Notamacropus eugenii: one gene and its partners. The protein of the gene in region 1 interacts with the protein of each later gene in a biochemical or structural test. Links are inferred from orthologs where the notes say so. Each region holds a gene or a part of one and is shown on either strand. Other genes may lie near its edges. The genes, in order: GTF2I, USF1 and BTK.

The links.
Region 2: the proteins of GTF2I (region 1) and USF1 form a complex in vitro, tested with the Homo sapiens proteins (2 studies listed by BioGRID). The link is inferred for Notamacropus eugenii from reciprocal best matches to the Homo sapiens genes GTF2I and USF1.
Region 3: the proteins of GTF2I (region 1) and BTK form a complex in vitro, tested with the Homo sapiens proteins (4 studies listed by BioGRID and IntAct, with this or other methods). The link is inferred for Notamacropus eugenii from reciprocal best matches to the Homo sapiens genes GTF2I and BTK.

The regions. Positions count from the first base shown.
Region 1 is NC_092873.1:48,620,899-48,624,642, reverse strand, and holds the start of GTF2I (general transcription factor II-I), read left to right. Parts: upstream 1-1,235; 5' UTR 1,236-1,300; intron 1,301-2,200; 5' UTR 2,201-2,221; coding exon 2,222-2,315; intron 2,316-3,744. UniProt on the Homo sapiens protein: Interacts with the basal transcription machinery by coordinating the formation of a multiprotein complex at the C-FOS promoter, and linking specific signal responsive activator complexes.
Region 2 is NC_092873.1:267,463,734-267,467,477, reverse strand, and holds the start of USF1 (upstream stimulatory factor 1), read left to right. Parts: upstream 1-952; 5' UTR 953-1,081; intron 1,082-2,022; exon of another isoform or gene 2,023-2,202; intron 2,203-3,450; 5' UTR 3,451-3,535; coding exon 3,536-3,543; intron 3,544-3,706; coding exon 3,707-3,744.
Region 3 is NC_092879.1:92,839,981-92,843,724, reverse strand, and holds the start of BTK (tyrosine-protein kinase BTK), read left to right. Parts: upstream 1-1,510; 5' UTR 1,511-1,661; intron 1,662-1,858; 5' UTR 1,859-1,969; intron 1,970-3,744. UniProt on the Homo sapiens protein: Non-receptor tyrosine kinase indispensable for B lymphocyte development, differentiation and signaling. Binding of antigen to the B-cell antigen receptor (BCR) triggers signaling that ultimately leads to B-cell activation.

The DNA of each region.
Region 1 (3,744 bases):
CGCGGTGCACCCTGGGAGTCGTAGTCCGGCCCCGCCGCCCTCGGCCTGGTGGGCAAGGCCCGGAAGACTACGACTCCCGCGGTGCGGTGCGGCGGGTGCGCATGCGCAGCGGGCTCTCTAGGAACAAAAAAAAAAAAAAAAAAAAAAGAGCGAGCTGAGGAGGAGGAGGAGGAGGAGGAGGAGGAGAGCGGACAACAGGGGCCACAGACCGCCGCGGGCCCCCACCTCGCGCGCCCCCTCTCCGGCCGCCTCCCGCCCGCCGCGCTCTGCTCCTCCGCCTTTCGGGCGCTCAGGCCAGCTGTGCGCGGAGCGTGGGCCCTGCCGGGGGCGGCCATGCGGCGGTGACAGGAGCGCGGCGGCGACGGCGCCAGCGACGGCCCCAGCCCCAGCCCCAGGCGCAGGCAGGACCGGCCAGCCCGTGAGCGAGACCGGACGCCCCCGCCCCCGGCTCGGCCTGATCGGCGCCCCGAGCCCTCCCCCGCCTCCTCTCTCCGCGCCTCGGGGCTGCCCGGCGCCGCCGCCGTCCCCGCCGTCGCTGCTGCTGCTACCGCGGCTGCCGCTGCATCGGGTGAGTCCGAGGCCCCTTCGGCCCTGCCGGGCCCAGCCTGGCCTAGCTCGGGGCCGCGGTCGTCACCTCCTCCGCTGCCGCGGAACAGACACGGGGGCAGTTTAACGGAGGGGTGGTTATTGTGTGTGGGGGTGACCGTCGACTCCCCCCGCCTCGGGTCCCGGGCTCCGGGCCCCGGGGTGGGGGCGGGGTGGGGGGGTTGCGAGGGGCGACGGTTGGACGCGCGAGCCTCGGGGACGCGCGCGTGGGGAAGTGCGCGCGGAGCATGGGGGTTGGGGGCGGAGAAGGCCCTGCGCGCGCGCGCCGGAGTTAGCGGAGAGAGGGAGGTGTGCGTGCGTGTGTTGGGGGGGTAGGGGTAGGGGTGGGGGAGGGGGGGGGGGTGTCCTTGCTTCTCACCCCTCCCTGATTGGCTGGGGCGACAGGGGTCGCGCGCTCTGGGCTCGGGCCGGGGCCGAGCTGGGGTCGCGCGCCGGCTGGGCCCTGTCCTGGGACTCGAGCGCAGGCTCGGCGGCGGCGCGCTCGGATTGGCCGGCGGGGCCGGGGGGCGGGGCTTCCGCCGCCGCCGCCGCCGGGCTAGGTGAAGGTGTCAGCCCCGCCCCGCTGTGGCCCCGCCTCCGCCCTATCGCTCCCCCTCCCCCTGCCAGGTGGGGCCTGCTGAGGCCATTGTCCTCGGCGGGTCCTGCGAGGGCGGAGGCGGAGCCGGGCGTCCGAGAGTCCCTGAGGGGCCACGAGGTGCTTTCTTCCCCTCAGTCTAGTTTGGGATCCCCCCCAGCCTCCGAGTCTGGGCTCCTGGAGGCCGTGAATGATGCGGATTCGAACCCCTGTCTGGAGTTGGTCCGGCCCCCCCCCTCCCCGCCTGCCCTCCCCTCCTGGCTGGGGCGGCTCCCCTTGGCTCGGGGCCTGGTTGGACGAGGCCTGGGACCGAGGAACCCGTGTAATTGTGGGGGGGGGTCGCGGTGGCCCCTCGGGAGACTCAGGCCTGGTCGGAGCCCTGCGGGGGGGGGGGGGGGAACGGAAGGGGGAAGGGGAGCGGGAGCGAAGACGAGGGTCGGAGAGGTCAGCCCGGGGGCGTGAAGCCCCGCCCCCTTTGCACATTTCCGGAGCTTCCCCCCTCCCTCATCCCGGGTTGGGCCCAGTCTACGCTGGTCCGGGAGTTGGGGGGGCTCAGTCTCCTTGGGGGTCGAGGCCTGGGATCGAAGGTTGGAGGGGGAGGGGGGGACCCGAGGCTTTATCCAAAGGGGAAGGATCTGCCGAGGTCACCGTCAGGATGGGGGGGTAATTAGAGGGCCGCGAATGGTTCGAGTTTGGTTGGGTCGAAAAAGTCCTTTGATGTTCTTGTGAGAGTTGAATGAATGGGGGACGAGGGGGATTGGGGCGGGGGGGGGCGATGGCGGGCGCAGATAAGGTTTCCTTTGCCCCTGGGGGCGTCCTGGGGGCGGATCCCTAGCCCCGGGCTGTGGATCCTCGGAAGGGAGGTAAACCGAACGCTGCGCTTTCCTTTCCTGAGTCTCGGTGATTGTGGAAGGCAGCGTCCGCGTTAACTGGCTTAGATAGGCCTTCGGATTAAGGACTTCCGGGCAATTATTAATTTCCTGCTCATATCTGATTACTGAAATCGGGCCTTTTTTATAGAAATCGTGTTCTTCACTCGCCATGATTAACTGTAAAAAAATAAACACAGTTTGTGGCTGTCGGCTGCTTTGGAGGAAAAAGCACAAAAGCCGGGAGGATTGGTCTTGTTTTTTTGGCAAGTACTAATTTTTTTAATATGCACCTAAATTAGAAGTAATGCTCTAGTTGAGCGCAGGTTTTCCTCTTTTCCATCTTATTCCCTTGTGTTTTCTCAGCCTTTTCGATCTTCACCCTTGCCATTTGTCTTCTCCCCCCTCCCCCCCTTTTTTCCTGCCCAGGCTTTGTCTCTACAATCTGGTCTTTTAATTCCTGTCCCGCCCTGGTTTCCTCTCTCTAGCTTTCCTTCACGCTGTCGGTCCACCTTGCTTATTCTTGCCTGCTAACCAGGCGTTGCTAAAAGCATGACAGAAGCCCAGGAGTTTGGGACTCATCCTCTGTTACAAAGAGAGCATAAAGGGGTAGACAAAACATGCCAGGAATTCCTTCAGGAGGTAGTTTCCCCAACTGGACTGGGACACAGTGGAGTGGAGGCCCTGTCGCACCCTTTCCCAGCCTTCTTGCTCTGTGCCCTGCTTGGCTGAGGTTCTCCTAGATCTTGTGCAGAGGAGGCATTTTAGAAGCCTCCTTGTTTCTCTGAACAATCACTGCTAGTACAGTAGGATGAAATGGGGAAAGCCTGGGGCTCAGCATCTCTCTTCCTGATGTGCCATGCTGTGGAGTCTTAGCCAAGTGATTTCACCTTTCCAGGGTCATCATTTACTCATCTTTAAGAGGAGGGGCAAGATTACAGTACATCCTGTTCCTCAAATTCTACTTCTCTGAGATGCCAAACAAATTTACCCAGCAATCCTTAATTATAATGAATTCCAACTTCAGGGATAGTGGATATCCATGATTATGCCGAGGCATCCTTCAAACAGCTGCCAGAAGAAGCTTCTTTTGAGCACACGTCTGATCTGCCCTGTTCTGCTCAGCAGCCTTCATTGGTTGGTCCCTTATTCCTATTAGGATAAAACACAAACTCATTTGGGTATTTAAAGCTTTGCCAGATGCCACTCTAGACTGAAATTCTTATTACCCTTGACACATTCCACTTTTCAACCAGATTGACCTACTTGAAGTTCCCTTAACTAGGCATTCCATTTCCTTGTTGCAGGCCTTTTTGGTGTTTGTTCCCCCCCCCCCCCCCCCATGCCACCTCCTATAGGGTTGGGAGGCAGAGTGGGTATCTCTCACATTAGACAGTCTTAATGAACTGCTTGTTAGGTGAATGATTATTCAACTTCTTTATTAATTACCTAGTATGTGCCCAGGTACTGTCTACTAGGCAGAATGGTAGGATTCAGGAGGATTGATTCAGATCCTAGGTAGATACTCATTAGCTCTCTGACCCTGGGCAAGGCACTTAACCCTTTCCTACCTCCGTTTCCTCACCTGAGAAATGAAGTAGGGTAGGACTAATTGGCTTCTGAGGTCACTTGCAGGTTTAAATCTATTATCCCAAGTAAACACAAAGTGGTTGTGCAGGGAAGATTGGGTAACCT
Region 2 (3,744 bases), about 220 Mb from region 1:
ATTTTGAAGAGGAGGAAACTGAGGCAAACAGGGTTCAGTGACTCACCCAGGGTCACACAGCTAGTAAGCGTCCCAGACCAGATCTGAACCTCAAGGAGGTGACTCCTCCCAACGTCTGGACCATCACCTTATCCGCTGTGCCACCTGGCAGCACCCTCTTTGGTAGCTGGTGCGGGAAGGGCTCCAGGAAATGCCAGGCAGCAGAAGAGAGGGCCAACCTAGCAAGGAGAATACTGGGCTTCAAGGCCTCCTTCGCCTGCGGGGTGCCCAAGATCCTAAGTGGAAGGGCAGGGACTGGCTTGGACTGGAAGGAGTTCCTCCACCCGGAGCTCCTCCCTATAGCAGTGGGAGTTCTGGCTATGTAATTTAAAAATAAGAAATCACCAGGGCAGGGTGGCGATCCACGAAAACCTTTCTGACGCAGAGGGACTACTGGCATGAATGGGTGTGGTCATGGGGGACCAGGGAATAGGCTTTCAGGAGACTCGGGGCCGGACACCCAAATCCCCCCAGAAGCTGAGGTCATTGCTTCTCGGCCGAGCTTCAAAAGCCGGCGCCTGACAGGTGTTGGGCGAACCCCGGGTCATGTTCCTGGAAATTCTTCTCCCAAGAGTGCCCAGACCCAAGATGGCGCCCAGAGCAGCCCTCGTCAAAGATGGCGGCCAAGTCGAGCATCCCTCCCAGACTTAAGATGGTCTCTATCAAGTGTTAGACCCATTGTGGACGGCTACGGCTGTCAGCTGTCCGGAATCAAGATGACACTAGGAGCTCGTCGCCTCCCCTCCATGCCAGATGGCAGCGAGCCCGCTCCCAATCCAGCTGGATCTGGTCAGCTGGACTTCGCTTCCGCGCCTCTCCTAGGAAGAAGGGCACCCCTCACCAAGATGGCGGCAACCGGAAGTGGGCGATGCCCCCGGCCGCTCCCGGGGAAATAGGCGGAGCTGGACCAGACACTTCCGCCCCGCATCGACATGGAGACGCCTGGTCAGTGCGCATGAGCGGCTGCCCATGGAGAGACCTGGGGCCGAAGGGGGAGAACGCGGTCGAGGGAAGTCGGCAGCTACTGGGGCGCCCTGGACTGGTGAGTGTGGGGCAAGGGGTCGAAGCGGGGGGCTGAGCGACGAAGAAGAGGCAGGGGAGCTGCTTTGGGTCGTTCGGCTCCTTTCGGTCGGGGGAGGTTGGCGGAAGGGAGAGGGTGCGAGCGAGCCTTTGTTTTTTTGGGAGGTGGGGGAGGGGCCCCGTCCCGGTCCTCGCCCACTCCCCAGCTGCGCCGGCACCTGCCCCAACTCCTCCTCCCCCTGCCCCCGGTCCCCCTGTCCCAGATCCCTCCTCCTAGCGCTCCCCCTCCCCCCCGCCCCCTTCTAGATTCCTTCCCCCCGCCCCCATCCCCTTCTCAGGCTAGCGGGGGGCGGCGCGGCATGTGTCCGGGGCGACCTCCCAGCCCTCTGGCCGGGGGCTGCCGCACAGCCTCCGGCGCAGCCCCCTCCGCTCGGACTCCTGGCCCTTAACCGGGCTCTTCTTTCTCCCCTTTCCGCACCTCCGTCCCAGCCCCGCTTTCTTTTCTCTGCCTGTGTCTCTTTGCCCCCTCCCCCCCACTCTGTCTCCCTCTTCTGACCCTCTCCTCCTCTCTCCTCCTCTCCTGCCTCTCGGCCGCTTTCGAAATTGTTGGGGGAACTGGAGTGAATAGGGGATTGGTCAAGAAGAGTCACAGTGGCGTGTAGACGTGCAATGAGGACGCCATGCACACTAGTGGTGGGTCTGGCGGGGGAGGGAGCGAGGGAGAGGAGGCGAGGAGAGGAGGGCGGTCGGGCTTTCAGGCCGGGAGCTTATCCTCTGAGTTCTGTCCCCGTGTTTATGACCACCCTAGTGGTCGGCGTGCCCTTTCCTGGACTTGTCTTGGGAAGTCTGCGCAGGTTGAGGAGTCAGTTCTCCCTGTTCTGTCCTGAGAGTACATTCCACAGCTCCCCGGGGCCCCCAGCCCGTGCCACATGCAGTTCTGATAGCCAGAGAGCTCTCCCTTACAGTAATTCATGTCTCCAACCGGCCCCGGCCTTCCTCTGGTGCCCTCAGTTGCCCGGGGATGTGTGGGTGGCAGAAACTTGGTGAGCTGTCCCTGCGTTCCAGTCCTCTTCCTTCCCCCGAAGTCAGGACGGAGAGAGAACTTGGAAGCTCCCTGTCTTCCCTCTTCTCTTTCCTCCCTCCTTCATCCCCTTCCCCCTTACTTCCTTTTCAGGTTTCACTTTCACTTCTCAGTTCTCTTTTTTAACCACTTTCTCTTGGCTTTGGAATCTGTCCTCTGGCCTACATTTCCCAGTGTATCCTTCCTCTCTGTTTCTCTCAGAAAGCCATCCCTTACAAACGTAGTATAAAAAGGAAGGGGAGGGGAAACAGTTCATCAAAACTAGACCACACACTGGGAAAAAGCAAGATATAATCTATAGTATTCCACACCCTCCATCCCCTACCTGTGCGGGGAAGGGAGGGAGGTGTGTTTTTATATCTCTTCTTTGGGTTAGGGACCTTGTTTTGTGGAAGGGGACTGAATTTATAAATCATAATCTTCCTAGTAAAAGCTGCTAGATGCCTGGATTTGGTGGTGCCATCTGCCTCTGGCTAGTCCTTGATTTCTCTTCCCAAGCTGGGAGCCAGGATTTGAGGGTCCTAGCATAGCCTGTAGGTATATTGTTGCCCCAGTCCCCTTCTGTTTCAGAGCAGAGAAGAACCCTGAGCCCTAGGGTGCCTGAAATTCATTCCCGTCTGAATGAAGCATTTTTTATGGTGTAACCATAGCAACATCATAATTGCCAAACCAATCAGGCAAGGAAGAAGACTTGGAGAATAAAGGGAGAGGGAAATTTCCAAGTGCTGGTTTTCAGGCATAAGATTGTTTCTCAGATGGTTTGATCCTTGAAACTCTGACCTAAAGTCTTTGGGGGTATAACTGTTTTCTGCTGCTGCAACTCAATTTCCCTACCTTGGAGAAAAAGATAGAAAGTCTAAATCAATGTGGACCTCTATAAAGTAGCCTCAAGAAACAGTACCAAATAGAGTAAATCATTACTTCTTTATATTGATGGTGATGTTTTGCCAGCATGACCATGCCTGTTTGTAATTGAGCCCCATGAAACTGCTGTCTTTGCAAAGTAAAATAATATTAATAATACATCCAGGAAAACTATTGTTTACAAACTTGCATGTCCATCTCTCCAGGTAACCCCTGACTACTTAGGTTAAAGCCAGAAGGAGGATGACTTTGTGCATAAACTAGCTTTTCCACCTGCTACCTCAACTTTTGGAGTTAGGAAAGGGAGATGTATTGAAAATGACATATACCAGATGAATAGCTTTTTAACACATGATTGTTTGTAGACATTGGGCCCCTGCTAAAGAGGGCCTCTTCAGTTCCATAACTTCATAGTAAGTTGTCTTCTTCTCCCTGTTCCCTCCCAGGATTTACAACGCAGCATTGTGAGGCAGGAGGTACAAAGACTTTAAGCAAAAGAACAAGCCTTCGGATGTGCCCCCTGGCAGAGAGATGAAGGGGTGAGTTAAGGAGGGGAACTCCGAGTGTAAGCTCCTAAATCTGAATCCCAGCTGTGCTGTGCTGAAAATGCCATTGAATGTAAGTGCCAGGAGGTACCAGGGCCTGAACTTCCTGCTCACTGCTTCTCCCCCATGTTTTTCCATCTTACTCCCCCCACAATAGGCAGCAAAAAGCAGCTGAGACAGAGGAGGGGACTGTGC
Region 3 (3,744 bases), on another chromosome or scaffold:
AAAAGTGAAACTTCCCAAACCTTTATCTAATCAGATGCATTGTTAGTGCGATAAGTGTTCTTACTCCTTTTAACATCATGGGTTTTGGGGGACACAAGTGTGGAGCAGATGTCTAAAGCTCTGAGATAAAATACAACCTTTGGTGCTTATTGGCTCCATGGCCAGTTTCTTCAACTGTAAAATGAATATAATAACAGCCCTTGTAACTACACTGACTCTTTACAAACTTTAAAGCACCATATAAAGGTCAGTTATTTTTACTTATTTGTCTGCTTTGAGTAAATGTGAGAACTAACCAGGCCAATACTTGGCCAATAAAAAGGTTTTGAAAAAATACATACCCATTTAAGACAACTTTGTTGCTTTGAGAATCTTGACAGGCATGTGAAGGTTTCATAGAAGCTTGGGAAGACTTGTATGAACTGAGGCAGAACCAAGTCAGTCACTCAGTCAATAGATGTTAGAACTCAGATCATTTCAATGACCAATCTTGACTCCCAAGGCCTAATGTTGGCAAAACACTTAATGTATCCTACCTCCTTTGATCCTCACAACAGTCCTGAAAGGTAGGTGCTATTATTATCCCCATGGCAGAGCTAAGGAAACCAAAGTGACTTGCTAAGGGTCACCTGACTGATAAGTGTCTAAGGCAGATTTGGAACCCAGTGTAACAGACTTCTGTCCTCTTTGCAGAGAAGGGGTGGTTATGGATGCAGAACAAGACATATGTTGTCAGATATGGCTGACTTCTGTTTAGAGCTGTTTCGAGATTTGGAGCAACGTTGGAGTTTGGGGGAGGGCTGTAGGTGACCGCAATGTAAATAAAGGCATCGATGAAACTTTTAAACATTTTAAATAATCTTAATAACTTGATAACTTGCAGTGGAGCCTAGGAAGGGCTTCTGCATGAGGCACCCAAGACAGGCAACTAAGGGTATGCTAGTGGGGGGAGGATGGATGGCAACATTGCAGTGGGATGCCTTCACCATCTGGTGCCCAATGCTCTAATTCCTAAGATAGCACGTGCCAACACTTATTTCCTGGGAGAATTGTGGGAGAAATGTGCCTCCTGGACTGACCAAAGGAAGACACTCCTTTTCACACTGAGTAGGAGAAGGGTGGGCTAGAGGCAGCAGTGGGGCTCAGCCCCAGAGCCAGCTGGGAACAATATGCCAGTTTTCTTCTGAGTGGCCCAAAGAGGCATGCTTTCCAGGATTACAGAGTCCTAAATAATTAAAGGCATAGTCTCCTAATAAGGGTCTTAAATGGAAAAAAAAATCAACATTCCTGGAAAATAGAGAAGGTACAAGTTTGCTTCTTGGCCCATGTTCTGACATCTTTATCTGCAGAAGAAAAAAAATCTTTCTTAGAAAATGACTCAACAGAGGAAGTCTTCCTATCTCTAGCTCTGCCGTTTTCTGGAGAAACTATCCCCTTTAAGTGCAGTTGTCTCAGCTCCAAGCCCCTCTGCCGTGGGTGGCCTTCCTCACAGGCTGCTTGCCCTGTCTGTCTACCTCTCCCTGCCTTGCCCCCCATTTCTACACTCCTCTTTCCTCTCTAGTTTTGCTCCCTGTGTTCTGCCTGTTCCTGTAGCCCTGAAGTCAAGGTTGTTTTCCACCTTTGTGGCCTGGCTCTACGGCCTGAGCCTCAGTGACACCAAAGTAGGTGGAGGCTTTTTTCTGAGCCCAACTCATGGTGGCAGTATTGGGGGTTCCAGGCTGATGGAAGGGGAAATAAGATACCATGCCTCTGAGAAGGGAGAAGAAAAAAAAGACATTGGTTTAAGTCAGGAAACAAAAAAAGGGGAACTGAGTGTCTGTGAAAGGGTGGGGTTTGCTCACACTGTCCTTCCTCTCAGGACTGTAAGAATATGTCTCCAGAGCCAGTCTCTGTGCTGATCGAATCCCACCTTCCACATCTGGGCAGCTTAATGCATCTGGGAAACCGCCAGCATTGAGTCAGGACTCAGGTAGGTGGTCAGTGTATGGTGGTGGTCAACAATGACTGAGTATCGACAGTGAGTACCTTCCCCCCTCAGGGCCATATGGGAGGGCTGGGAGAAAACATGGCTGGTGTCGGAGGTGGCCACAGGAGGTGGATGATGGGGGGTGGGGGGGGACTCAAAGCACCAAGTTCTGACAGCGCTAGATAACCAAGAGAGGCCAATGTTGTGGCCTAAGGGACTAAGGAAAGTGGAAGGAAGGAGTAGAGTGGAGCCCCAGAATCAGTCACAGGTAACGGAGAAGCACAAGCACTGTCACAAAACAAAGCTTCCCCTCTTCATAGCCTTTGCAAGTCTGGAGAGTGCACTACAGAGGCCCTTCTGGCCTGGGGAGACCTCTTTGCAAATGTTCAGCTGGGCCTTAGAAGGCAGCAGCATGGTGGGGTGATTTGGAGGCAAAAAGTGGAGGCCTGAATCATAGCTGTATGACCACAGAGGTAGGGAATATCAGAATTCCCCACACACACACACATTTCCTAGAATTGGCTAATGTGATCAGGACCTTTGTTTGATGGCCTCCAGAAAGGGAGAGCCCGCCACTTCCCAAGGCAGCTGCCTTAACTTCCAGCTCTAAGTGTACCATCATGGAATCCCAGATTTCAAGCTGAAAGGTTCCAGGGAAGTTATCTGGTCCAGATATTTGGACAAGTTAGTTCATCCCTCTGTATCTCACTTTCCCTCTGTGTAAAATGAGAGGATTCCATTAGGGGACCTTGATGTTCTTTCTAGCATTCTAGGTCTTGAATTCCTCTGTGCATGAGCTGAAAGGTCCACCCTAGGATGATCAGGAGAGCACAAGATGCTGAGTAAAGGCACTTGGAAGATGTGGGATGCCTACTGAGGGTCTCATGAAGCCAAACATTAGGTTCCATTTCAGTCTCAAATAAGGAATAAGTATACAGAGTCAGAACCAACCTAATGTTCATGTTTGATTTTTTAAAAAATCTAATTCTTTAGGTCAGGGACAGGCAGCCTGTGTCACTGGCATAGTCGTTACTTAGTCCCATTTCTCATCTCTCCTCTCCTCATGCTCTCCTTTTCTTTCTTCCTCTTTTTCTTGCTCTCTCTCTTTCTCCTGTTCCCTCTTCCTTCTCTCCTCCCCTGGGCTCTGATGGGCATTGCTGAGCTAGCACTGCTCATCACTGTTACTGACCCTAATCAGGGCCTTAGTCTAGCAGGGGACAGGGAATTTGAAGTTTGAGGCCTGGGATCAAATGTCGGCTCTGCCCCTCACTACCTGGCTCACTTTGGCCTCACCTGTGAGGGTCTCAAGAAGCACTTGACCTACCTATGTAGGCATCTGTCTCTTTGGTCCATGACCTGTATTTCCTTCACCCACCGCTGCCTGCCATCTTCCTAGCCTGGTGCTGTATATTTGAGAGAGCTGGACTTGATGACTGCCAAGATCCCTTCCCTCTCTAAACCCAGGTGGGGGGGTGGGAGTGGGGGTTGTATTTTTACATACATGTACATGTGTGTGTGGTTGTATGTGTTCTTATGTGTGCATGTATGTGCATATGGCTATGTGTGTATTTCTGTGTGCATGTACATGCATTGTGTGGCTGCATATATACATGCATTGTGTGGCTGTGTATGTACATTCATGCATTGTGACTGTATTTCAGTGTGTACATGCATGCACATGTGGCTATGTGTATATTTCTGTGTGTATGTACATGCATTGTGTGTGGCTTGTGTATTTCAGTGTGTTATGTACATGTATGCACATGTGTCTCTGTGTA